Astyanax mexicanus: one gene and its partners. The protein of the gene in region 3 purifies or fractionates together with the protein of the main gene of each other region. This does not show direct contact. Links are inferred from orthologs where the notes say so. Each region holds a gene or a part of one and is shown on either strand. Other genes may lie near its edges.

What was found.
Region 1: the proteins of srpk3 (region 3) and ftsj3 purify together in Homo sapiens (affinity purification with mass spectrometry; 3 studies listed by BioGRID and IntAct, with this or other methods). This does not show direct contact. The link is inferred for Astyanax mexicanus from reciprocal best matches to the Homo sapiens genes SRPK3 and FTSJ3.
Region 2: the proteins of srpk3 (region 3) and ebna1bp2 purify together in Homo sapiens (affinity purification with mass spectrometry; 3 studies listed by BioGRID and IntAct, with this or other methods). This does not show direct contact. The link is inferred for Astyanax mexicanus from reciprocal best matches to the Homo sapiens genes SRPK3 and EBNA1BP2.

The regions. Positions count from the first base shown.
Region 1 is NC_064423.1:28,670,925-28,678,960, reverse strand, and holds the start of ftsj3 (pre-rRNA 2'-O-ribose RNA methyltransferase FTSJ3), read left to right. Parts: upstream 1-5,012; 5' UTR 5,013-5,117; coding exon 5,118-5,184; intron 5,185-5,880; coding exon 5,881-5,986; intron 5,987-6,100; coding exon 6,101-6,147; intron 6,148-6,242; coding exon 6,243-6,322; intron 6,323-6,971; coding exon 6,972-7,071; intron 7,072-7,185; coding exon 7,186-7,380; intron 7,381-7,460; coding exon 7,461-7,576; intron 7,577-7,685; coding exon 7,686-7,790; intron 7,791-8,036. Other genes in the region: lonp1 (lon protease homolog, mitochondrial), read right to left, coding at 836-955, 1,046-1,134, 3,235-3,750.
Region 2 is NC_064415.1:56,522,435-56,529,820, forward strand, and holds the start of ebna1bp2 (probable rRNA-processing protein EBP2), read left to right. Parts: upstream 1-4,353; 5' UTR 4,354-4,492; coding exon 4,493-4,567; intron 4,568-5,489; coding exon 5,490-5,573; intron 5,574-5,660; coding exon 5,661-5,824; intron 5,825-6,208; coding exon 6,209-6,332; intron 6,333-7,048; coding exon 7,049-7,138; intron 7,139-7,215; coding exon 7,216-7,291; intron 7,292-7,386. Other genes in the region: cfap57 (cilia- and flagella-associated protein 57), read right to left, coding at 23-197, 805-1,064, 1,398-1,708, 2,492-2,648. UniProt on the Homo sapiens protein: Required for the processing of the 27S pre-rRNA.
Region 3 is NC_064419.1:4,598,514-4,606,072, forward strand, and holds the start of srpk3 (SRSF protein kinase 3), read left to right. Parts: upstream 1-4,460; 5' UTR 4,461-4,524; coding exon 4,525-4,540; intron 4,541-5,176; coding exon 5,177-5,288; intron 5,289-6,082; coding exon 6,083-6,684; intron 6,685-7,235; coding exon 7,236-7,344; intron 7,345-7,559. UniProt on the Homo sapiens protein: Serine/arginine-rich protein-specific kinase which specifically phosphorylates its substrates at serine residues located in regions rich in arginine/serine dipeptides, known as RS domains.

The DNA of each region.
Region 1 (8,036 bases), on a different chromosome or scaffold from region 3:
ATATAAAATGTATTTATATAGCGCTTTTTACAACTGATCCTGTCAAAAAGCAACTTTACAGAACCATTAGTTAATGGGCTTTTTATCCAAATCTCACACTGTAGAAACTAAATGAACACAGTAAAAGAAATGCACAGACCAGTGGGCAGGTCAAACACATCCATAGATATGCTGATGTGCACACACACAGCATTTAAATGCGGACAGACTCAAATTATATGTCTAAAATGTAAAATATATAAAATATCTAAAATCTTTTTCCAGCTGCAGCATTTTTCAGTTTCAGAATTTTACAAAACAATGAAATAATGAAATCACAATTACAGTATTTTTCGCACTATAAGGCGCACTTAAAATCCTTTCATTTTCCCAAAAATCGTCAGTGTGCCTTTTAGTCTGGTGCGCTTTAGTATGGACTTTTACCAGTCAGGTGGTGAGGAGAAGTAAAGTCACTCTGCTGAAGTACAGCGTTATAAAAGAAAATATTTCAGTTAAGTTCTCCAGCACTGGGGCTGGAGTAGCATTAGCATTAGCTGCTAACCGCTATTTCCCCCTTCAGAGGCGAGTATTATCGGCCTGTAGCCTGCTGCTAAGCCCGGCAAGCGCTGAAAATCTTTGTAGATTAACATCCAGCATTCTTTTTTTTTTATTTGTTTTGTTTACTTAGCTTAGCTTTACTTAACTTAAATGTGCCTTATAATCCAGTGCGCCTTATGTATGAAAATAGACCATAAAATAGGTGTTCATTGATAGTGTGCCTTATAATACATATTACAGTGCAAAAAATATGGTACAAAACTCTGCTGTGGGTCTTTGATTTAAAACGATGAACTACCTTCTGTGTCCCATTACAATCATGCGAAGTTTGTCGCCAAGGTCCTGCATCTCATGGATCTGAACAAAAGTCCCTGTGTTGTAGACGGCATCCAAATTTGCCACAACATCTGACTCATCACTGATTAAAAAAAGAAAGAGAAATGAGACAATATAGTCAAATGGTCATTCAAGTAAGAGTTCAAATAATAAAACTTTCTTAGATCCATACCCATCATCCTTCTTGAGAAAGACACCGGCGTATGGCTGAGCAAGTCGTACTTTTCTTCTCAGCAAGTCCATCAGCTGCTTATTTTTCACCTGGAAAGAGAGAGAAAAAGAGTGCAGAACTGGTTAAAAGAGTAATTTACACTGATATGCCAAAAGACGTTGAGGTGAGTGAGACTGAACATAGTGCTCATGGCAAGGCACTATGAACAAACAGAGTTCAAGTGAGGCCTGATAGCGAAGGTCAGACGAATGTCATAGAAGACATTACCACCCAACAGTGGAAAAGTGCAGTGGGTGGTAATGATCATGACCAGTGTCATGTGGCTAGATCTGTCCATCTCAAATCAAGGATGATCCACACACAGACCCACAGGTCACTGCATTGTAATTTAGCTTCCATGGGACATGGCAAAAGTCATGGGACACAATAACAGTTCTTGTCCCATGATTTGTGGCACATCAGTAATGGTCTCAATTTATGTGAATGGCACAGCTTCATTTTTGGGGCTTAAACTTTTCTGATCCTAATACATTTATGTTACAAGAAACTTTTATTATTTTTAATTATTGATATATTTTATACTGTAGGTTAACATATGTTGCTATTATGGATTTAGCTGGTAATCAAAATATATCCCAATTGTTTTAGAAGCTTCTCATTACATTATGGCAACACTATGACAACAGAAAAACTCCAAAATATTACAGTAAAAGTTAGAGAACACTCCTGGAAAGATAAATTCTGGAGATGCCTGATTTTGTTGGACAGCAGCACTGTGTTACATTCATATTGGAGGAACAACAAGAGTATTTTCCCAGCCTACAAAACAATTAAGAGAGGTCTCTTTAACTCATTGTGCACCAACAAAGATCCAGGGGGAGCCCATGTCAACCCTGCTAGGGGTTAACCATTTCATTCAAGCCATTCTGTTACAGTGAATACCCTCACTTTGACTGTAGTGAAACAACTGCACCTCTCTCATTTACATGCACTGTTTAGAAGTGGGAATAGTAATAGGAATGGGCCACATCCTCTTGCATGCATGCAATAATATCTCCAAAATAGACATGATCTAAAAAAATCTTAAAAGCAACATATTTTAACTGCAGTTTAGATTGAACTAATTTATATATATATTATATATATACTCAATAACGTTTTAACCCATAAGTGCCCAGAGCAGCTCCCTCATTTTTTCTTATTGTTGCCACTTAACTGTAAATATTTTAAGGTTAAAAGCCTGATGTAACAGAAATGACAGAACAACTATTTCATGATTTTAACTTTTAGTTCTAGAACTAGTGTCAGATGTACTAACAAGGATTGTGGAACATTTAATTAAAGCATGTGAATTGGTTAAACAGATCTGTAAAAGTCAAAGTTTCTCTTTTAAAGGGAGCTAGTTTTATCTCAAGCAATAACCCAGCACTCCTACATTATTTAAATAAACACATTATGTACAGTATGTGTCACTTAAGGACTTCATGACTTAAAATGACAAAGAGCAGTAAGGATTTTCTAGATCTTCTACAGGGTTTGTGACACATACCTTAGCATGGGCTCTTTTTGGTTAGTATTTTTTTGCAGAAGTATAATCTAGAAATTAATTTGAATATATATGTAATAATACTGAGATTATTTCTTTATTATATTATATTAGTTTATGATTATTATTTTAGGCCGATATTTCCCACCCCCAGTTGTCAATGACAATGTATGTCCAAAACATTTGTATGGACATAAACCCTTTAAATGTATTTATATTTCTCCCAGTTTTCTTCAAAAACAATCTCTACTCTTCTAGAAAGTCTTTACTGACCACTTGAACATTGCTGTATTGAATCTTTGATTGCAATCAACCATATTACAACAGATACAGTTATTATGGTCAGGTACTGACGTTTAATGGTTATTTCTGATTAGTACTGTCACTCCAGCTAATTTCAAAGGTGGCTTACTGGTTCTCCAGCTCCAGAGAACCCCACAGTACACACCTGACATTAACCCTGGTGGCCTTAGGGTTATACATCACACATTCAGTGTCAGCAAAAAGTTCACCTTATCTAAACAGCTGAACACACCAGCTAACTAGCTGGGTTAATTAGTTAGAAGTGTGTAGATACGGCTGGACTTGCAGTATAACTAGCTGTAAACTAGTTACTGAACCATGGATCTGAGTGACTACTAACCTCGATGATCTTTATGAAACGTGGGAAAACAGGGTTCCTGGTGACTGCGATCAGAGGAACGTTAGGAAAAACCTCTGGCACCATCATAGGTGTCAAAGCGGTCATCTGAGGAGCTCCATACCCGCCTCCCTCTCCATCCCCGCCCGCATCATCCGGGCCAGCCCCGCTGCTCTCCGCTCCATCCTCCCCGGACAGCCCGCCGGGTCCGCTGCCCCGGTTCCCCATCATATAGCCCCTGCGCTCGGAGCTGACCGACCAACCGGGTCCTGAGGCGTCCCTCCACCCGGGGAGGACGGCGGAGACCCGGCTCCATGCCCTGACGCCCGCCGCTGGAGGAGAACCGATGCCGCACAGCGGCTTGAGGCCGGAGCTGTAGGCATACGCTCGGGTCGGGGTTTGCCCGCTGTGGCCGGGTGTCTGGCTCCGGAACAGCGCTCTGATTTCAGCGCTGAAGGCGCTGGAGCGGGTCTGCAGCGCCTGTCTGTACGGAGCCCACAGTCGCATGTACGCCGCCATGTTTATCTGGAGCCTTCTACGAGCCCAGAGCCATGCACGCGCTGCGACCGCTGATTGCGTCAGCGTGTTTACACACGCCCCTTAAACTGGAAACGCGGCTGGAAACATATTTTCATTTTTCTATTTATTTATTTCTCATAATTTAGTATATAATATCCAATTTATATTTAAACAATTAATAAAATACAGTCTAAAATAAAATATAAATAAAAAGTGCCCTTATACTTATTAATGGTCGCGCTCCAATAAACGCACTCGGGTTCAAGGGTTTCATAAGAATGCAAATCTCCAGTACTTGGATGGTTTGTACTTTTTTTACTACTAGCTTTATGTTATTTAAGATGTACTGATAATAATACAGTAACACCTGTACATAAAAAGTTCAGAAATCATTATTTGGTGGAATATCTCTGGTTTTTAATTACAGTTTTCATATATGTTGGCATGTTCTCCTCCACCAATCTTACACACTCCTTTTAGATAACTTTATGTCACTCCTGGTGCAAAAAAAACACAAGCAGAACAGCTTGGTTTTATGGCTTGTGATCATCCATCTTTCTCTTGATTATATTCCAGAGTTTTTCAATATGGTAAAATAAAAGAAACTCGTCATTTTTAAGTGGTCTCTAAATCATAATAAAAAAACAAAACAAATAAAACCTTTACTTTTAATGTATGTATGTATTGTGTGTAGCTTATATAGTTAGCTATGGAGAAATCATACCCAGGTAGCAAAAGTACACTAAATTGAAGTTAATCCTTGCATCTTTAATACAACAATTTTGACCTCCGATGTCAGAATTGATTTATTAGTTCACATCAATTTTACAATCAATGTTGTATTTCTTGCTTGTATTTCTGCTACATTGTAGGAATGGACATTTAAATAATAATATCAATCGTTATTTATCATATTTTTTGTGGAGAACACCTATTACATATCAGAACTGCAACCATTCAAAGACTTTCAACCAACGCCTATTAGATAATGATAAATAAAGGTTGTTTTTCCATCATCAACATTAAAAGGCTTAATGCAACAACAAAAAAACGTTTATTGTCTTGAAAGTCTTGAAAGCACAGCAGCACAATATGGTCTCAGTACTATACTTTCAGTAGCTGCAAGACAAAGGTCGTGAACGTAATAGTGGGTTTACGCAACTACCCCTTGTTCTTACCTCAGTGCACTTAGAGGTGCACAAGTGTACAGAAGGAAATCTCACCAATTGGGACAGTCCCCCACTCGCAGATGTGACGCCACCACCACGCGCCTCTAACCCCCACGTGTGGAGTCTGACTGAGGAGCTCGACGTGTTTAAAGCTTCAGACTCTCACCGGCTGCCTGTATTTATCTTTAAAAAGCGAATATGGGTAAAAAACTGAAGGTCGGAAAGACCCGAAAGGATAAGTTTTATCACCTGGCCAAAGAAACCGGTGAGTCCAATGAAACAGGAGCTCCGTTTCGGTGTTTGTTGGGGTATTAAAGCTAAACTAGCTGGCTAACATTAGCTTAGCTCTGTGAGCAGCAGTTTAACCACACAGAGAGCAGAATAGCTAAATTAGCTAACTTAAGTTACTCAATTTCTCTCACTGATTAAGGGCTTTCAGATGTTTTTATATTTTGGCTTCTGCTTGTCATTTAGTGTATGTATCGTTTTATTAATTAAGTAGTTACTGATTTTAGATTAATTCTTGTTTTGGTTCAGCTCCTGTTCTGCTTTACTGTTGCATGCGTTTCTGTGTCACTTTGGAAATGTATTATTTTAGTTTGAGCAAAATATCCCACAAAGGAAAAAACAGCAGAACAGGCCTCTGTTTTCTTGGAATGTCTTTATAAGCTTTTTCATTTATGAACAAATATTAGTATCCAAGTATTGTGTGTGTGTGGCATCCATGTATATAGTGTGAAGGTTTATTATGTGGTTATTATCGTAAAATTGGCCTGTTTTTTTTAAATGCAATAAAACCCAAAATACTGTTATTGTGACAGGCCTACTAATATAATTTTAAGCTGTAAAATATACAGATGTACACATTTACAGTTAGGTGCAGAAACATAGTGAGTCTGCAATAAAATAAAATAAAAATATTTAATTTAGAAGATTTAATGCTGTGCTTTTTGTTTTTCAGGTTACAGATCCCGTTCATCTTTTAAGCTCATTCAGCTAAACCGTAAATTCAACTTTCTCCAGAAAGCCAGAGCTCTTGTGGATCTTTGTGCTGCTCCTGGAGGATGGTAAGATGTCCGATCTGTAAAATGTCATGGCTGAATTATGTTTTAGTTGTATTGCTGCAGGTCCACATGGGGTGATATCTGTGTGATTGTTTAATTGGTTTAATCTGCTTACAGGCTGCAGGTGGCGTCCAAGTTTATGCCAGTGTCCAGTCTTATTATTGGTGAGTTTAGACTTCAGTTAAAAAGTGAGCTTTAATTCAGTCAGTAGTGGGGTTAGACAGCCCTGTCTTACTGTTCTTTCTTTTCTCGTGGTCAGGAGTGGATCTGGTCCCTATCAAACCCATCCCTGGAGTTGTTGCCCTGCAGGAGGACATCACAACTGAAAAGTGCAGACAGGTAGGACTGGTATCTATGGTAGCCTGCAAAAATGATCAGATTAGTGTTATTTTGCTGGAGTTCATTGCAGATTTGCCATTACAATTCGTAAGTACATAATGCTCCTTAAATGTTTGGTCCTACTTTTCAAACTCAATATGCAGTCTTGCGTTAATCACCATGGTACTCAGGGGGCAATATAGGACATATCCTAGCTTCTGTAAACAGTACAGGGTTACCACTGGGACTGTGAATGGCAAAAAGCATGGTAGCAGTACAAGACAACTTGGCTGTCACTGTATCGCCTTTTGAAGCAGCACATAGAATGCAAATAGCATTATCAATGCACCATGAAATACATTGACACATTTTTTTTAATTCAGTTACACACAAACCCCTGTCTGTGTAGCTTAAAGCGCCCATTTTTTTCATGCTTGTGTGAAGTGTGTTTCGAGCTTTAGGGTATAATAAAAGCTAACATGAAATTTGTAGATTTTTATATACTACACAATTTAGGTAATGTTGTTTAGCATTTTAAGGTGTGATAGAAGGTGTGATGCATTTTTAAATAAAATTATTGCATTTTACTATACTGTAATGATCAATTAATCACTGTAATGATTCCATATTGTCATTCTCCACCTGGAACTGATGCATCTTTGTCCAACAGGCTCTCAGAAAAGAGCTGCAGACATGGAAAGTTGATGTGGTACTTAATGATGGAGCACCCAACGTAGGAGCCAACTGGCAGCATGATGCCTTCTCTCAAGGTATTTTTTGTATAGTCAAAAATTAAGGAATGTATTAAAGATGGCCATATTCTAATGAACTTCGTCTAAGATTCAATCTGCTTGTTGACTTACTGTTTTAACTCTTTTCCCCAGCTCATCTCACTCTCATGGCACTGAAGCTGGCCTGTGAGTTTCTTGCTAAAGGAGGGTCTTTTGTCACTAAAGTCTTTCGCTCCAAAGACTACCAACCCCTGATGTGGATCTTTCAGCAGTTCTTTAAAAAGGTGCAGGCCACCAAACCCCAGGCCTCTCGTAATGAGTCAGCCGAGATCTTTGTCGTCTGCCAAGGTAGCATTCCTCTACTCTACTGTTGTTTTTTTTATGTCTTAAATAGCACTCGTAAAAACACCTTTCTTCTGCTCTGTTAGGGTTTCTGTCTCCAGACAAAATTGATAACAAATTCTTCGACCCCAAGCACGCCTTTAAAGAGGTGGAGGTGCAGGTGAAGACTGTGAAGGAGTTGGCCACGGACAAGAAACCTAAAGTAAGTGTGCTCACAGCGAGAAAACTTGCATTAACAATGCATTATATAATGTTTACCATAATCCTTGTTTTATCGTTTATTTTTATTTCTTTCTTTCTTTCTATAATAGGCAGAAGGCTATAATGAGGGTGACATGATCTTGTTTCACACTTTCTCAGTCACTGAGTTCTTGAAGGCTGAGAACCCGGTGGACTTCTTAAGCAAAGCCAGTGAAGTAAGTGCTACTATTAAGGAGCTTAATAAGTAGTTAATAACATTAGTTATTAAATTGTAATAGAAATCAGTCATCCATAACTGCACAAGCCTTGTTTATTACATTATCTGGTTATAGTAATAATTTATTAAAGGGACACATTATGAATAACTCACTTTTTGTGTGTTTTTGTATTTCCACTTGGGTCTCGACTGCCCCAAACATACACCCCAAGTTTGAAAGCAATCCATCCATCCGTTTTATGTG
Region 2 (7,386 bases), on a different chromosome or scaffold from region 3:
AGACAAACTCAGCTTCTGTCACCTTTATTTCTCTGGTTTTCTTGTAACTGTCCTTCTCTTCCGTTTTTTCAAAAAGGCACACGGTTCCTGGGCCGGCTGAACAGGCGAATCCTTTAGAGTAGGGTGAGATGGCCGTCACTCTTGGCAATAAGGCCGGTGAAGAGGAGGTGTCCTCCGACTTCCTCCTGTCTGTTTTTCTGTCGGACAGCAAAGCAAGGCAAAATGTAGAATGGCAATGAGAAAAATGAAAGAGTAGTCAGTGTACTGTAGCATAACAGAAGAATAGGCTTTATGTCTATAAACTGTGTAAATAGTGGAAATAGTAGAAAGATAAAAGGAAGCAGCGGGAAAACAGATTCGATAGCTAACCATTAATGATAATTATACAGCTCTGGAAAAAATAAGAGACCACTTAAAATTATGATTTTCTTTGATTTTACCTAATTGTAAACCTCTGGAATATAATCAAGAGGAAGATGGATGATCACAAACCATCAAACCACCAAACTGAACTGCTTGAATTTTTGCAGCAGGAGTGTAAAGCATAAAGTTATTCAAAAGCAGTGTGTAAGACTGGTGGAGGAGAACATGATGCCAAGATGCATGAAAAAAACTGTGATTAAAAACTACCAGGGTTATTCCACCAAATATTGATTTCTGAACTCTTAAAATTTTATGAACTTGTTTTCTTTGCATTATTTGAGGTCTAAAAGCTCTGCGCCTAAGTTAGAATGGGAGATGCTAGGCTAACACTGCTAACAAGCACTGGATTGAGACAGTTATTAATATTAAACATCCTCTTACCTCTCTGGCTCCTGTGTGGAGGGTTTACTGGTGACGCTCAGGCTCCCGCGCTGGTCCCCTGACTCAAACACAAGCAGCCGTCCCGTCTCAGTTCCAGCAATGATCCTTTCTTTGGACATCCAGGCGTGAGACAGGATGTTATGTTGCTCCATTTTGACAGAGTTGGTCTGTTTTAAGGCCCCTTCAGTGTAACGGAAGATCTTGAACAAGCCGTTGCCGCTCACACAGATCTGCATGTTGTCCTGAGGGCTGAAGCTGACCTGTGAACGAGAGAAGAGCAGGACATGCTTAAACCAAATATCCATTTTTTTTACTAAATTCTTTCTTTAAAGCAATATTACACCATGCCTCTTTTTGATACATCAGCTCACAGATGCAGCCTTGTGCTCATCCACATCACCCTAGGAGTGATAAGAGGAAAGAGCGCCATCTACTGTACCCACCCAAAGAGAGAGCAAGGACAATTGTGCTCTCTCAGGGCTCCGGCAGCTGATGGCAAGCTGCATGAACAGAATTCGAAGCAGCGATCTTCTGATCATAGTTGCAGTGCTTAACATGGTTTCTTTTTTTGAGGAAATGCAGTTCAATCCTACCTGGTGGATGGGACCAGTGCTGGTGGTCTTCACCGTGGCCATGATTTTATGCTTCTCCCAAACCCAGTAGAACAGGGTCCACTCCGGTCCTCCAGCCTGACCTATGAGGTATTTAGAGTCAGGAGAGAAGGCCATGCAGACGAACTCCCGCACTGGAAGCTCTCCACCGGTCAGAACCTTCCTCCTGCGGCTCTGCTCGTGCTGCAGGTCATAAATGGTTATGGTAGCCTTCTCCTTGTGCTCTGCCACGGCCAGGTAGCGCCGGTTAGCGCTGATGGCCATAGCCTGCATGCTCTGGCTCCTCTCTGTACCTGTAGGAGGTAATGAAGAAAGAATTGATCAAAGTATCTGCATAATTAAATGGTTAAAATGTAAATTCAGAGTGGGTTTGGTGTGAAATGCTCTGTTCTAAATAAACTAACAGAAATATTTGTAGTAGTAGTGAACAGAACAAGATGCTCTAAAGCAGGGGTCGGAAATTAAGTTTGGCCATGGGCCAGATACAGTATTTTCCAAGCCATTATGTGGCAGGCCATAAAAAAATTGTTTAGGAAAATGAAGTGTAATGGGATGAAGTGCTACAGACTAGCAGCACTCCAGCCCAGAGGGTTGTTGAACCCAATTGTAGAACAGTTGATCTCAAAGCAGGTAAAACCCAAGAAGAAACGATTTTAAAAAATGAATAAATAAACTGCCACTACCCCGGCTAGTGAATTTGGACACAGCCAAGTCATAGGGAGCACGATAACGGGTGGAAAAACATGAACGGGCAGAAACTAAAGTCGCACCAAGCGCAACAGAGGGAGACGAGGGAGGTATGTAAACAAAAGCTCACCAGAGAAGCATTTTATCTATTGCCAACCCCTGCCCTAGAAGCTCTTTAAAAGAAGGTTACTATAGCAAAAGGTTATGAAGACACTGATGCCTAAGACATTGCTTTTTCAAAATGTTTGAGCAAATGTCAGATCTAAAGGGTGTCATCATCCCTTGTGTCCCATGTGTTAAATTAGGCTAAAATAGGTCTGTACTTAAGTTATGTTATTTTTTATAACCACTTATTCGATCTTAATTACTATTTGCATTAGTCCACTCACCTGGAATGAAACTCTGGCATGCCTGATCGAGGTCATAGCGCACACAGTTATTTCCACAAGGAAAAACCACAGTGTGTTCATCGAAAAACAGAAGGTTATTATTTACTCCAGTCCTCAGGCCAAAGATATGGTGAGACTGAGCCACTACTGCAGCCATGGCTCAAGAAATATCTGTGGAATTCAAGGAAAATGGAGAGAAGGGCAGTTTTAGACACAGTAAATCATAATACATATAATATAAAACACATGCTGGTTCTTAGTAAGTCAATATTAGTGTACAGAATAGTCTAAAACGGGGACAGACTAGCAAATATGGCAAATCCAGACCCATGAAACCCACATGTACCCACGTTCTGCACCTTAACCCTTTCAGACCCTGCATCTGTTGCAATGAACAACATCTGTTTTCTTATATTTTTGTAGTTTTGCATTTAATACAGATTGAGGCCTGTTGTCCAACATAATTGACATTAATCAGCCAATCAAAAACAGCACCTTAGCCTCAACTGCTGCATTGGACAAAAAAAAAAAAATGAGATTTTTTTTACTGTTTAAAAAAGTTATATAAAAGTTTCATAAAATAAAAATAAATATTTACATAAAAATATAAACAATCTACTTATATATATACATATATACATATATATATGTTTGGAGTGCATTGGTAGGTTTCCTGTGTTTTTTAATACACAGTTATGTCTGATAAAGTGCCTCAGTGCCTCTTGTTTAGTAGAGAAACTTACCGAATAAGAGCCAATCCAGCGGTAGTGAACAGAACCAGAACTTTTATAAACTCTTTAAAAGCACATAAAATAAAAAAAATCGCGAGATAAATCGCCTGCTAACAGCTAACAGCCACGGTTTACTGTAACCACGTTAACGCAAAGCTGCAGCGTTACTAGGCAACCCCACGCACACGTGATACAATAAAGTAAAGTAAAATGAAATAAAATAAATAACGAATAAATAATAACTTTAATAATAACATATCATACAAAATACTAATAAAAGGTTTGCCTAAAAAAAAAAAATAATTATTTAACGTTTAATTTTAAACATATAAATATAGTAATTGTATCATATTATATTATATTAAATCATATTATATCATATTATACAGCCTGTACAGCATCAACATTTATTTTATTATTTTGAAAAAAAAAAAATACGCACATTTTTTTTGCGTGTAAACAAAATAAAAGTATTTTATACTACAAAAAGTACTCAATACAACGTAGATTTAAAAAAAAAAGCAAAGATCATCTACAATTAAGATAGAAAGGAAAATATAGTACTGTTTATACATTTATAAATATTTTTAATTACGTTACAAGTGTTTAAAAATATTCATATAACAATAATTACTAGTTTATTTATGTTTCTAAATATAGAGCTATTAAAAAGGATACAACATTTAAATTTTATAGTACTCTAAAAGTATATTCCATAGCAAAAAAAACAATATTTAAACGTTTATGAAAAAAAGATCTAAAACATAAAAAAATAAAAGTCTTTATTAGTTTAGCGATATATATTTTTTTTCTTATATATTTTTTAAATATATTTAAAATGACCTACAATTAATATGGAAAGCAAAATATGGTATATACATTTATAGAATTGTTTAATACAAGAGTGTTATATTTATTAATTATTAACAAAATATTAATTATTTATGTTTCTAAACATTAAATACCTTTCAAAAGGTGACACAATTTTAATTTAAAAAAAATATTCCACAGCAAAAAGAAACAATATTCAAACTTTGAATAAAAAAGCGATATGAAACATTTAAAAATATAAAAGTCCTTTTTTTAAACCACTGGAGGAGCGCACTCGAGGTCGGAACTGTTCTCAGAAGAGTCTTGGTTCTACCCGGACCGCGATCTGTGCCGCAGCGTTGTTTGCCCACGCTGTGAGAGCTTGAATCACACGTGAAAAGAAACGATAGCCTTTAATAACGTGTTTTTTATCATCATAACGAAGTTTTTCAGTGTTAAAATGGTAGATATAGAGGAGGACAGTCAGCTGGGGCTGGAGTCTGAAGAGGAATATGAGGAATTATCTGATGGGGAGGTGAGAACTGTGTTGTTTAAAATGTTTTAAGGTAGTATTGTATTTCTATCGATGGTAATTGTTTTTTAAACGAGTCTAAAGTCACTTCGATAGAACGAGTTGTATTTTGCGACCGTTTTGGATGTCGTATAGATTTAAGTTTTGTTTATAATAACCAGCTTACTTTGTGTATTGTCAGTTCCACCTTAACTGGAGCTGCATTTAACTTACAGTAAGTGACTGCAGACCCATTTAAGGTGGAACTGGTAGATCCAACTGCAATCTAGCGAATATGAACAAAAATAAATAATGAACAGTGTGAACAAAAATCTTTACGACCTTCAGAGGAGTCTTAACACACATTATACATGTTTGATATGTAGTTTCTGATAGCCTAAGAGTCTCAGATATTGAAACTCAACACTAGAGGTGGGCAATATTATGTCGTATACAATATATCGTGACACATATTTATCATGATATTAAAAATCCATATCGTGATAAAAGGGATGCTTTGTCTTAAATGTAGTCTATTATTTACTGTAAAGCTTTAGGTGTATTTATTGTATAATTGTTTTAGTTTGCACTTTATATGCATGAAAATATTCTGCATTTTTTTTATCTGCATATTATTTTATGCTATTTTATTTATTTTGCCACATTACGATTATTCTGTTATACTATTATACTATATTCCTGAAATTAATGAATTGTTTTTCTGTTTTTCTATTTTGCCAAGTATATCGTTATTGCAAAAATACCCTTGCCTGGAATAATCCTATTTCTCTGATTTTCCATTGTGATTTTCAAGGACTTTTTAAAATTTTGGGCCATAAAAAAATACTCACCATTTTATTTTTACCAACTAATGATGTCACAAAGCAAACTCACTGAAATCCTGCAAATCTACGCTTTACCTAACCTTCTTCTCATCTCCATTCAGCTCCAGGAGGCTTTTGCCAAAGGACTTCTCAAACCTGGTTTAAATATTCCTCTAGAAGAACCAAAGAAGGCCGTCAACAACGTAGTGAGTTCCCTAATTTACTTATTATTACTTTATTTCTCTAGAGATACTATTTAGCAAAACCAACACACCTCTGTTCTGTTCTACAAGGAGGGGCTGAAGAAGTGCCTGGCTGACTTTAAGAAGAACCTGCCTTGGGTCGAGAGGCTGGACCTCACCAACAAACCAGTAGATGACGTTCTGGCCAAAGCTGAAGGAAGACCGAGCAACGACGACGTCAATCCTGAGGACGATTTTCAGAGGGAAATGTATTTGTAAGTATGAGTTCTGTTTAAAAAAAATCTCAAAGCTTTGGAGCCAAAGAATAAATATCCTTTGCTGTTGTTTTTAATAGTATAAATGATGTATATCTCTTACAACACTAGATCTATTTATTATAACTTCACCTTTATTCACCTAAACATTTAAAAACTGTTATAGAAGACAGTCACACATGCCAAATTATATATGGAGCATATTTTTTTTATAAGTATATGAGCTGGACTGAGGACTTTTATTATGAAGTCCTTGTATTATGAAGGCTTTTTAATCCCGCGCACTTTATGTATGAATTATTACCAGTCAGATATTAAGGAGCAGTAAAATCACTCTTAAAGGATGATTAATCTGGAGGTTTCTCTTTATTGTTGTGTTTCCAGCTATCGACAGGCTCAAGCAACTGTTCTTGAGGCCCTTCCAAAGTTAAAGAAGCTGAATATTTTTACTAAAAGGCCTGATGATTACTTTGCAGAGATGTCCAAGACTGATCAGCATATGCAGAAGGTAAGTTCTTGCCTCATTTTAGCTTCTATAAATGAACAGAGCGTGAGAACACAAGCGTACTGTCACTGTGCACTGTAGCAGTCTTGGTTCATTCTGTGCTAGCATAGTAGTTCAATATTCAATGGACAGAACAACATATAACATTGTTAAATGCATATAGATTACAAAAATAACATGCACAAACTATTAAAATATTTTTGCGATAATTATATTCTTCAGTGAAAGACAAAAACAGTGTAATTTTATTTATGTATTTTAACATTCAGCAGAACAAACAAATAAAAAGTGTTTTTTTTTATTAAAAAAAAAAGTATCCTTCCAAAATTGTAACAACATAATCTGACAGACAATAATGTTTCATAGAAACAGTGTAAAGTTAAGCAAAAAAATTATTATACAAAAAAAACCCTCAATGCTTATTAGTAATTAGCACGTATACACGTTTTTTTTTTTTTGTTTTTTTTTTCATGAACATATGATATGGAGCACCCCTAGCAAAAAAAACATTCATTAACAGCAGCTTCACTGAAAAAATGTATTATATGTACCATACAGTACTGATTGTCTTCTACTCTGTCTAAAACTCACCTCAACTTAACAAGCGAATCCAAGTTATGTCCAAGTGAATGTCCTAGTAGAAAATGTATTTATCATTGTGGTATTCCAATAAAATGTAAACACAGCACTGTCCTTATTAATTTGTCTTTTTCTTTCAGATCAGGAAGAAGCTCATGCAGAAGCAAGTAGCAATGGAGAATTCTGAAAAGGCCAAGAAGCTGAGAGAACAGAGGAAGTTCGGCAAAAAGGTCAGACCTCAAAACCGACGTTTATTTTAAAGTATTTAAACAGTTTGAGTTGTTGCTAAGGGTTTTTTGCTTTCTAGGTACAAGTGGAGGTTCTCCAGAAGAGGCAGAAGCAGAAGAGGGACATGATGACGGCAGTGAAGAAATATCAGAGAGGTTTGGGTTCTTTTTGTAGTACTAGTGCATCTAAAAAAAATAGAATATCATTGAAAAGTTACTTTATTTCAGTAATTCAGTTGTAAATGTAAAGA
Region 3 (7,559 bases):
TATTATTGTTTTTTTTTTATTATTTGTAATACCAAAATCAGAAAATACCCGTAATCAGAAAAAGAACCAGAAATGTAATACTTCGTAGAACTTGATGTTGTGCTCTTCTGCTGTATTTATTTGTTTATCTTCTTCTTTACCTGATAAAAATCATGTTGGCTTTTATATATGAAATGCTGCCAATTACCAATACATTAACTGAAGGACAGAAGGTTTGATACATGGTCTTGATATATGATATATGTGTGATTGCTGCTTAGACTTCAAAGACTAGATCAAATATAAATATATATATTACATGTGTACAGTGGGGTGGGGAGGGTAAAAGAAAGAGTGTGGAGCTAATGCTAAAGCTAACGTGTGTTGCCTCAGATGTAGCTAAAATGTTGCAACATAAAACTGGACGAGAAAAAAAATACGTAGGACGTGGCGTTTAGAAACGGGTGAGTGAGAGCACGTGTGATTGGTGATTGGTGACTTGTGGTCAGGGCGATGGGCGGAGCCAGTCAGCTTTGTTGCTTGGTTACAGTGATTTAAAATAATAATAATAATAATAAAAAAAGAGCAGCAGTTGTCCTGGGAACCCGTGTAGATCAGACACTGAATAGAAACTAACTTATTTGTACTGTAAATAGCGCTTATTTATACACGACTACCAAATGTGCCTTCTTTGTAACCTTTTATATCGATTACCAATTACAGTATACAGTAATCAAGCTTGACGTTAATTGCCAAATAGAGGAGAGGAGACGGAGCCACAGCTGTAGACTGTGTGAATTAGTGTGGAAAGACAAGGGCTGGCCTGAACTGATTTCTTTTCTGACCTTCATTTACACCACTGTTCTGTTTATTCTTCTGTTTTTTGATAATTATAATTTTTTACATTTTTCACTGGAAGAATATTAATCTGACCGCAGCTTCTCAGCATCTCAGGGTCACAGCTACCCTTCCTGGTGATTTCAGTATTCAGTATTCCTGTATGCTTGTGTGTACAGCCGCCTTCTGTTTAACAGGGTTTTCCACCGTTCTTCAGTTTTGAAATGTTCCGACTTCGAGTGTTCGATCTGATTTATTTTTTTTTATTATTTTATTTTTTCGTTTTTTAGATGTCCCAGGTGAGGATATTGTACATAGAAATTATTTTAGAATTAAAACAGGATTGTAATCATTTGTAAATTCTTTTTTCTTGATGTTTCTGAAGTACAGCTCGAATTAGATTTTTTTTTTTTTTACATTTTTGTTACTCTTTGCCTGTAGCACTTTGTGTTTACACTCTTGCCTTTTTCCCTTCCTTTAGAAATGGTTTAGAAAGCTAGTGTGTTTCCTGATAGTGTGAAAGGGGTGTGTGCCCTAATTCAGGCACTCGTGTTAAAGCTGAGCGACTGTAAGTGTAGGAAAGTCAATAAAAAATTTTATAAATAAAAGGTATGTACTGTTGGACGGACTTTGCAGTCTCAGATAAATAAAGGGGGCTGCTGATGACTGATAGCTTTTATTCACCTTACCATTCATATGTTTTTTCCTAAGGTATTCTGAAGAGATACGTATATACAGAACTGTGCAAAAGTCTTAGGGTCTTAGGGTGTTTTCTGACCTAAAAGTCTTAGGATCAGATTTGGAACCGTGGTTCATGTGTTTGTTATGTTGTGCTGAATTCTGTGTCTCATCTCAACATGAGTATTACAGATTCCCCTTTTATTTCTATTTATAAACAGAGCCATCAGCTGCCGGAGCCCTGAGAGAGCACAATTGGCCTTGCTCTCTCTGGGTGGGTACAGTAGATGGTGCTCTTTCTCCTCATTAGTCCTAAGGTGATGTCGATCTGCACAGGGCTGCGTCTGTGAGCTGATGTATACTGTACCCTCCTGGTGTTGGGTAATTGGCCTTGTAAATTGGGGAGGAAAAAATATTTTTAAAAATGTAAGAAATGTTGCTGAATGCATTCATTAAAAAGGCTGTTCACAAACTTTTGGATTTATAGCACAATCTTTTACTTTACTTTTTTCTTTGTAAAATTTAACTAATAAAAAATACTATGCCATAGCTTTCGTTCAGCCCACAATTTCTATTTAATTATTTGTCTAATAAATGTTTAAAAGTGTTTAACGTTAAAGAATTCTCCTGTGTCCTGAGACTTTTGCACAGTGCTGTATATTTATCCAGCATGTACTGCTGACGACTGACTGCTTTCATCCACATCAGGCTCCTCCTCCTGTGTGTGTGTTAGGGGCCTGTGTGTGTAAGTGTGTGTGTGTGAGGGGGGGGGGGGATATGATGAAGACAATGTTATTAGTGTATTTATTCAGTTCATGTGTAATTTAGAGATATCAGGGTTCGTACTAATGTCCGGATGGGGTGCGTGTGTGGAGGGGTTAAACCACAGCAGGACAATATTCTAACCCTGGAGAGATATGAGGGTTATTTTCTTTTTGTTTATTTGTTTGTTTGTTTATTTGTTTGTTAGGCTGAATTTGAATGTGTTTGGCTTCTCAGTGTAGTCTTAATTATTCTAGACTTCTGCATGCTTGATTGACTGGCTGATTTGATTGGCTTTTTTATTTTTCGGCCAGTATGCTACTGGGCGCATGGCACTTGTGCCTGTGGTTTTCCACTGGCCAGATCTGAGTGTGTGTTTCTGAATGTAACGTGTGTGTGTGTTAGCAAGCCCTTGTGTATGGCGGCGAGGCGACAGCCTGCGAAAACCTCCAGAAAAACAGACTTTTCTCAGAGAGAAAAGCGAGAGACAGAGACTGAATCCTCTTCCCGAACTGTCTGTGGAACTCGCCGTCTCGCCAAATCCTGCAGCACTGTTCCTGATGTTCCTCAGCGTTCCACCACAGTGACAGTAGACACGGTTCTGTACGGACTGTCTGAACGGTGTTCGTGGAGCCTTTGCCAATTGCCATATTTTACAGTTTTTTGTACAAGGGGAAAAAAGGTAATTTTTTTAAGGAACTGGGGTTAAAAAGAGCCTAGGCCTTCTGTTCTAGACTCCAGTTCTTTTTTTGTATTTGTACTGGGTATAGTTTGCTAACAGCTGTGTATATGTACCTGTAAATACTATGAAGAAAAAAAAAATCATTTTTTTTTTCTCTTTTTTTTTCAACTTGGTTATACATACCATAATGTCTCCATTGTGGAGAAATTGGGAGCCAAAATGTTGTAATGAGTGGAATCATGAAATTTGTATGAGAAATAAAAAAAAATAAAGTTATAATTTTAACAGTGAAACTGGATGGGTTTTTTTTTGTTTGTTTGTTTGTATTTTGTTATTTATTTATATATTTTTATGTTTTCATGTGTATTGGTCATTTCAACATGAATTAAAAAAATATGTCAATTATCAGATTTGGGAAAGAATCAATTTATGGATATTTATATTTATAGTGCTTTACATATGTAAATTTTTTTATAATTAATTTATAATTTATTTAACTATATTTTTTAACATCACAGCACACATTACATGTTTGTTCTTTCAAATATGTTCAATATATATATATATATATATATATATATATATATATATATATATATATATATATATATATATATATATATATATATATATATATATATATATATATATGACAGCTCTAAACCTTTTCTACTGTCGGGAACAGAAAGCTGAAGGAAACTTTCAACTTTTTTGGGGGGTCGTTATGATGGTGTGGATCAGTGGATAACAGCTCCAAGTGTGCAAGTGAGCTACCATGTGGGAGACCTGGGTTCAATTCCAGGTCTGGGTGAGTGGATGCTGGGCTACACCAAAAAGAGTCCTTGGGCAAGACTCCTTAACACTACACTGGGCCAACTCTGTAATAGGAATTACTTTGTAAGTTGCATTGGATACGAGTGTCAGCCATAAATAATAATAAAAAAATAACAATAATGTAAATGATGGCAAAGACACTTAGCATGGTTGACTGCTTGTCTATAGATTGTTAAAAAAGGGCTGATTAAATTCCTAATAATGACATATACTGAACATCCTGAGTGCATGATCCCAGGACAGTGTGTAAATGTGTGTTCATTCACCTGACTTTAAAATTAAAAGTGTATTTGCTGCTTCTACATGTATGTACCAAGCATTTAAACAATTCAGTGCATTAATTGCATATTTTCTATTTTGGTCAACTAGATGTCGACCAATTTCTAGAACAAAATGTTAAAATACGATTAAAATGTTATATTAAACAGTTATGAAAAAGTTGGGCATTTATGTTATGCATTGGAATTTTAAGTCATGTGCACTTTTTATCAAAATGACCAAAAAAAACCTAATATAAATAATTTAACGGATTTAAATTTGCATTCTAACTCTAATTCAAATTCTAATTCAAACTCCAGAGCTGGGTCTGGGCTCTTATGAGTTAATGCACTTTTTATTATTATTTTATTCATTTATTTATTTTTAGCTGTTCTCCCAAACATCACTTGCTCAGCGAGGGGGCCAAGCCTCCCTCACGCGCATGCGCAGACAGAGGCACAGAAAGTGTTCTCGCGCTGACAGCTGCAGCCCTGATGATATCGACGAACGGTGAGGAGTTTTTAAACAGCCTTTTAAATCGTTTTAGTGTGTTTTTAGATACGAACAGTTGTATTGTTGTCGTTTACGCCGTAATATACCGTAATTTAAGTGTTTAAGTCAAGAACGGGCGATGTTAGCGCTGTTCTGCGGCTCCTCTTACAAGCAGAGCTGTTTTATGCTAGCAAATCCTGGGCCGCTGTCCAATTAGAGAACGCTTGCCCTAGCTAGGGCGCTTTGTCGGTGCGGACATAGCCTACAGTGTCTTGGTTTGGATTGTGGCCTATGTAGTGTTAGCGGTAGGAGGCGAGGGTGCGGATTGGAGCGCGGCCCAAGTGAGCGTTTGTTGAGCGGTTTGTATTTGGAAAGAACTATGAAACATATTATATAAAAATGATATGTTAAAATAATTTACATTCAGGGACAGCCTTAAATAGTGTCTGTTTTCATTTGCTAAACTATTAAAATGTATTTGTCTCAATGAGTTTATGCTGTTAAGAGGCAAGAATTGTGGTTGTGAATATGTGAGCTAGGTTAGCTAAAATAGCTAGTTAGCTTAGCTTAGTTTAGCTAGCTAACTGCTATGCTAATAGTGTTAGTTAACCTGGCTAACTAGCTAGTCAGCTAACTGTGCTCTCTGACACACAGTGTCCAGCGCTAACAGCCTCCCGCAGAGCAGCAACCCGGGCAAGAAACACAAAAAGAAAAGCAAGAAGCACCGGAAAGCCACCAGGGAGCTCGTCCCCAGCCTGGAGCTCGGGTAAGCTGCACCAGTCTGGGATATGGCCCAGATTTGTGCGCCTGGGTTTGCTCTCTCTCTCTCCGTGTGTGAGTATGTGCTAAAAATACATGAGGGCGGTCGAGGGACTCACTTCTCCAGATATGCACATTGACTCATGCCCTCTTTCCCCTCCTTCTCTCTCTCTCTCTCTCTCTCTCTCTCTCTCTCTCTCTCTCTACCTACGTGTGTGTTCCTATTTTAATGTAACCTCAACAATGCTCATGTTAGGAACACATCCAGAGCCCTTCTTTCTACTTGCACAACATTGTCAACCAGAGTGAAATGTTGAATTCTGTTATTCCATAGGAGCCCAGACTCATTTCTGCATATTAGAACAGTTCAAATTATGAGATACTAAATCCTAATTATGAGATACTAGCCCTATCTGGACGGGATTAGTTTTGGGATTATTTCACACTTCTACTCAGTGATAAAACTCTTGTATCTGGACTGCAATTGGCTTTCTTGGTCACGTTACATCACGTTCAGTAGCTCCTCCATTTCCACTCGCTGTTGTGTTTACGTGGATCTCTATATGACGCATAAGACGCATTGCTTGAAACTAATAGCAAGGCACCTTTAAGTCAAGTACAAAGACTTTAGTAGAAATGGGTAGGATCCAGTCCACTGAAGTGGTAATGTCTGGGACTATAAGACCCTTTGGTTGGTGTAGTACTAAAGCACATTACTATTGCCCTTGTTTTAATGTTAATATATTTGTAATTAACCATGCTATGTTTTTTTTCTCATTTATCTTATGACAATGTCCACAGGCCCCAGATCCCGGCCTCAGATGACTTCTGCCACATCCTCACCGTCCACAGACCCACCACTCCTCCAGACAGAGCCCCCTCTCCTCCACTAAACCTCTCGCAAAGCCCCCCAGACCTTCAGCCTGTGCCCCCTGTCTCGGTCCCTCACTCTGAACCCATTTCAATCGCTCACTCTGAACCCATTTCAATCCCTCACTTGTCCCACATCTCAGCCCGTCACTCACCCCCCAACTCAGCCCCTCACTCACCCCCCATCTCAGAACCTAACTCACCCATCATCTCACCCCCACACTTACCACCCATCTCATCCCCGCACTCACCCCCCATCTTAATCCCTCCCTCACCCCCCATCTCAGTTCCAGTCACAGAGCTTCCCTCACATACAGTACTACCATCACCAGAGACAACTACTTCTTCCATAGCTCCTTCCCTTGGCCTACCTTCTGCTTTTTCCACAACTCCACCTACTCCATTAGTACTATCCAGTCAGACAACCCCACCACAGGCTCTCAGCCCACCCCCACCAAACTTTACCCCACCTCCAGCAGAACTACTTGGGTCAGATGATGAAGAGCAGGAGAATCCAGCAGATTACTGCAGAGGTTTGACATTTGATAAAGTAGTAGCCGCTTTTAAAATGCATATAATGGCCTGGATAAGTTTTGGAAAAATAAAAATACCCAGAAAGTTTTGGTGAAGGCATGGAAATTTGCAATTCACACGTGTGTGTTTCCATTTATTGACTAAGAAAATCTGTTTTGAGCTAACAAATACATCAGCTCAGTTAATTCAGTAATGTAGCCCTACACAATGGAGCTCTCAGGATCTGACACTCATTGCTTAAATTATTATTATTTTTTTTATCATTAAAGTTTTAGTTGATTTCTGGTAGATATCTGCACTGATGTTTTCAAGATCGCATGGTCATAAAATTTTTGCCTTAAAAACATGGGAAAGTCATGTAAAAATCATGGAAATGTATTGGTTAAAAAGTGTATGAACCCTGCATATAATTGTTTAAGCTGTTTATGCATTTAAAACTGCATAATATTTAGAAATACATTTCCAGGCAGATTTTAGTGTTGTAATATCTAAATTTTTAATACAATAAATCATAAATGAAGTTTAATCCTGATGTTTGTTCATGTTTTAGGAGGCTATTACCCAGTGAAAATTGGAGACCTCTTTAATGGCAGATATCATGTAGTGAGGAAGCTAGGATGGGGTCACTTCTCCACTGTCTGGCTGTGCTGGGATCTTCAGTGAGTAGACCATTCAGAAATGCCATGTCTAATTCTGAAAACAACTCAACTGCATTTTATTGATTCACCTGTAATAAAAACTGAAGTCATATTCTGTGTGTTTATTAGATTATACAGAATATGTCAGCTGCTTATTATATAGCAAGGTGTTCCTTGTTCCAAATACTACTAGTTTATCAGCTTGTTTTTTAGCAGGGCAGACATTACACCCACTG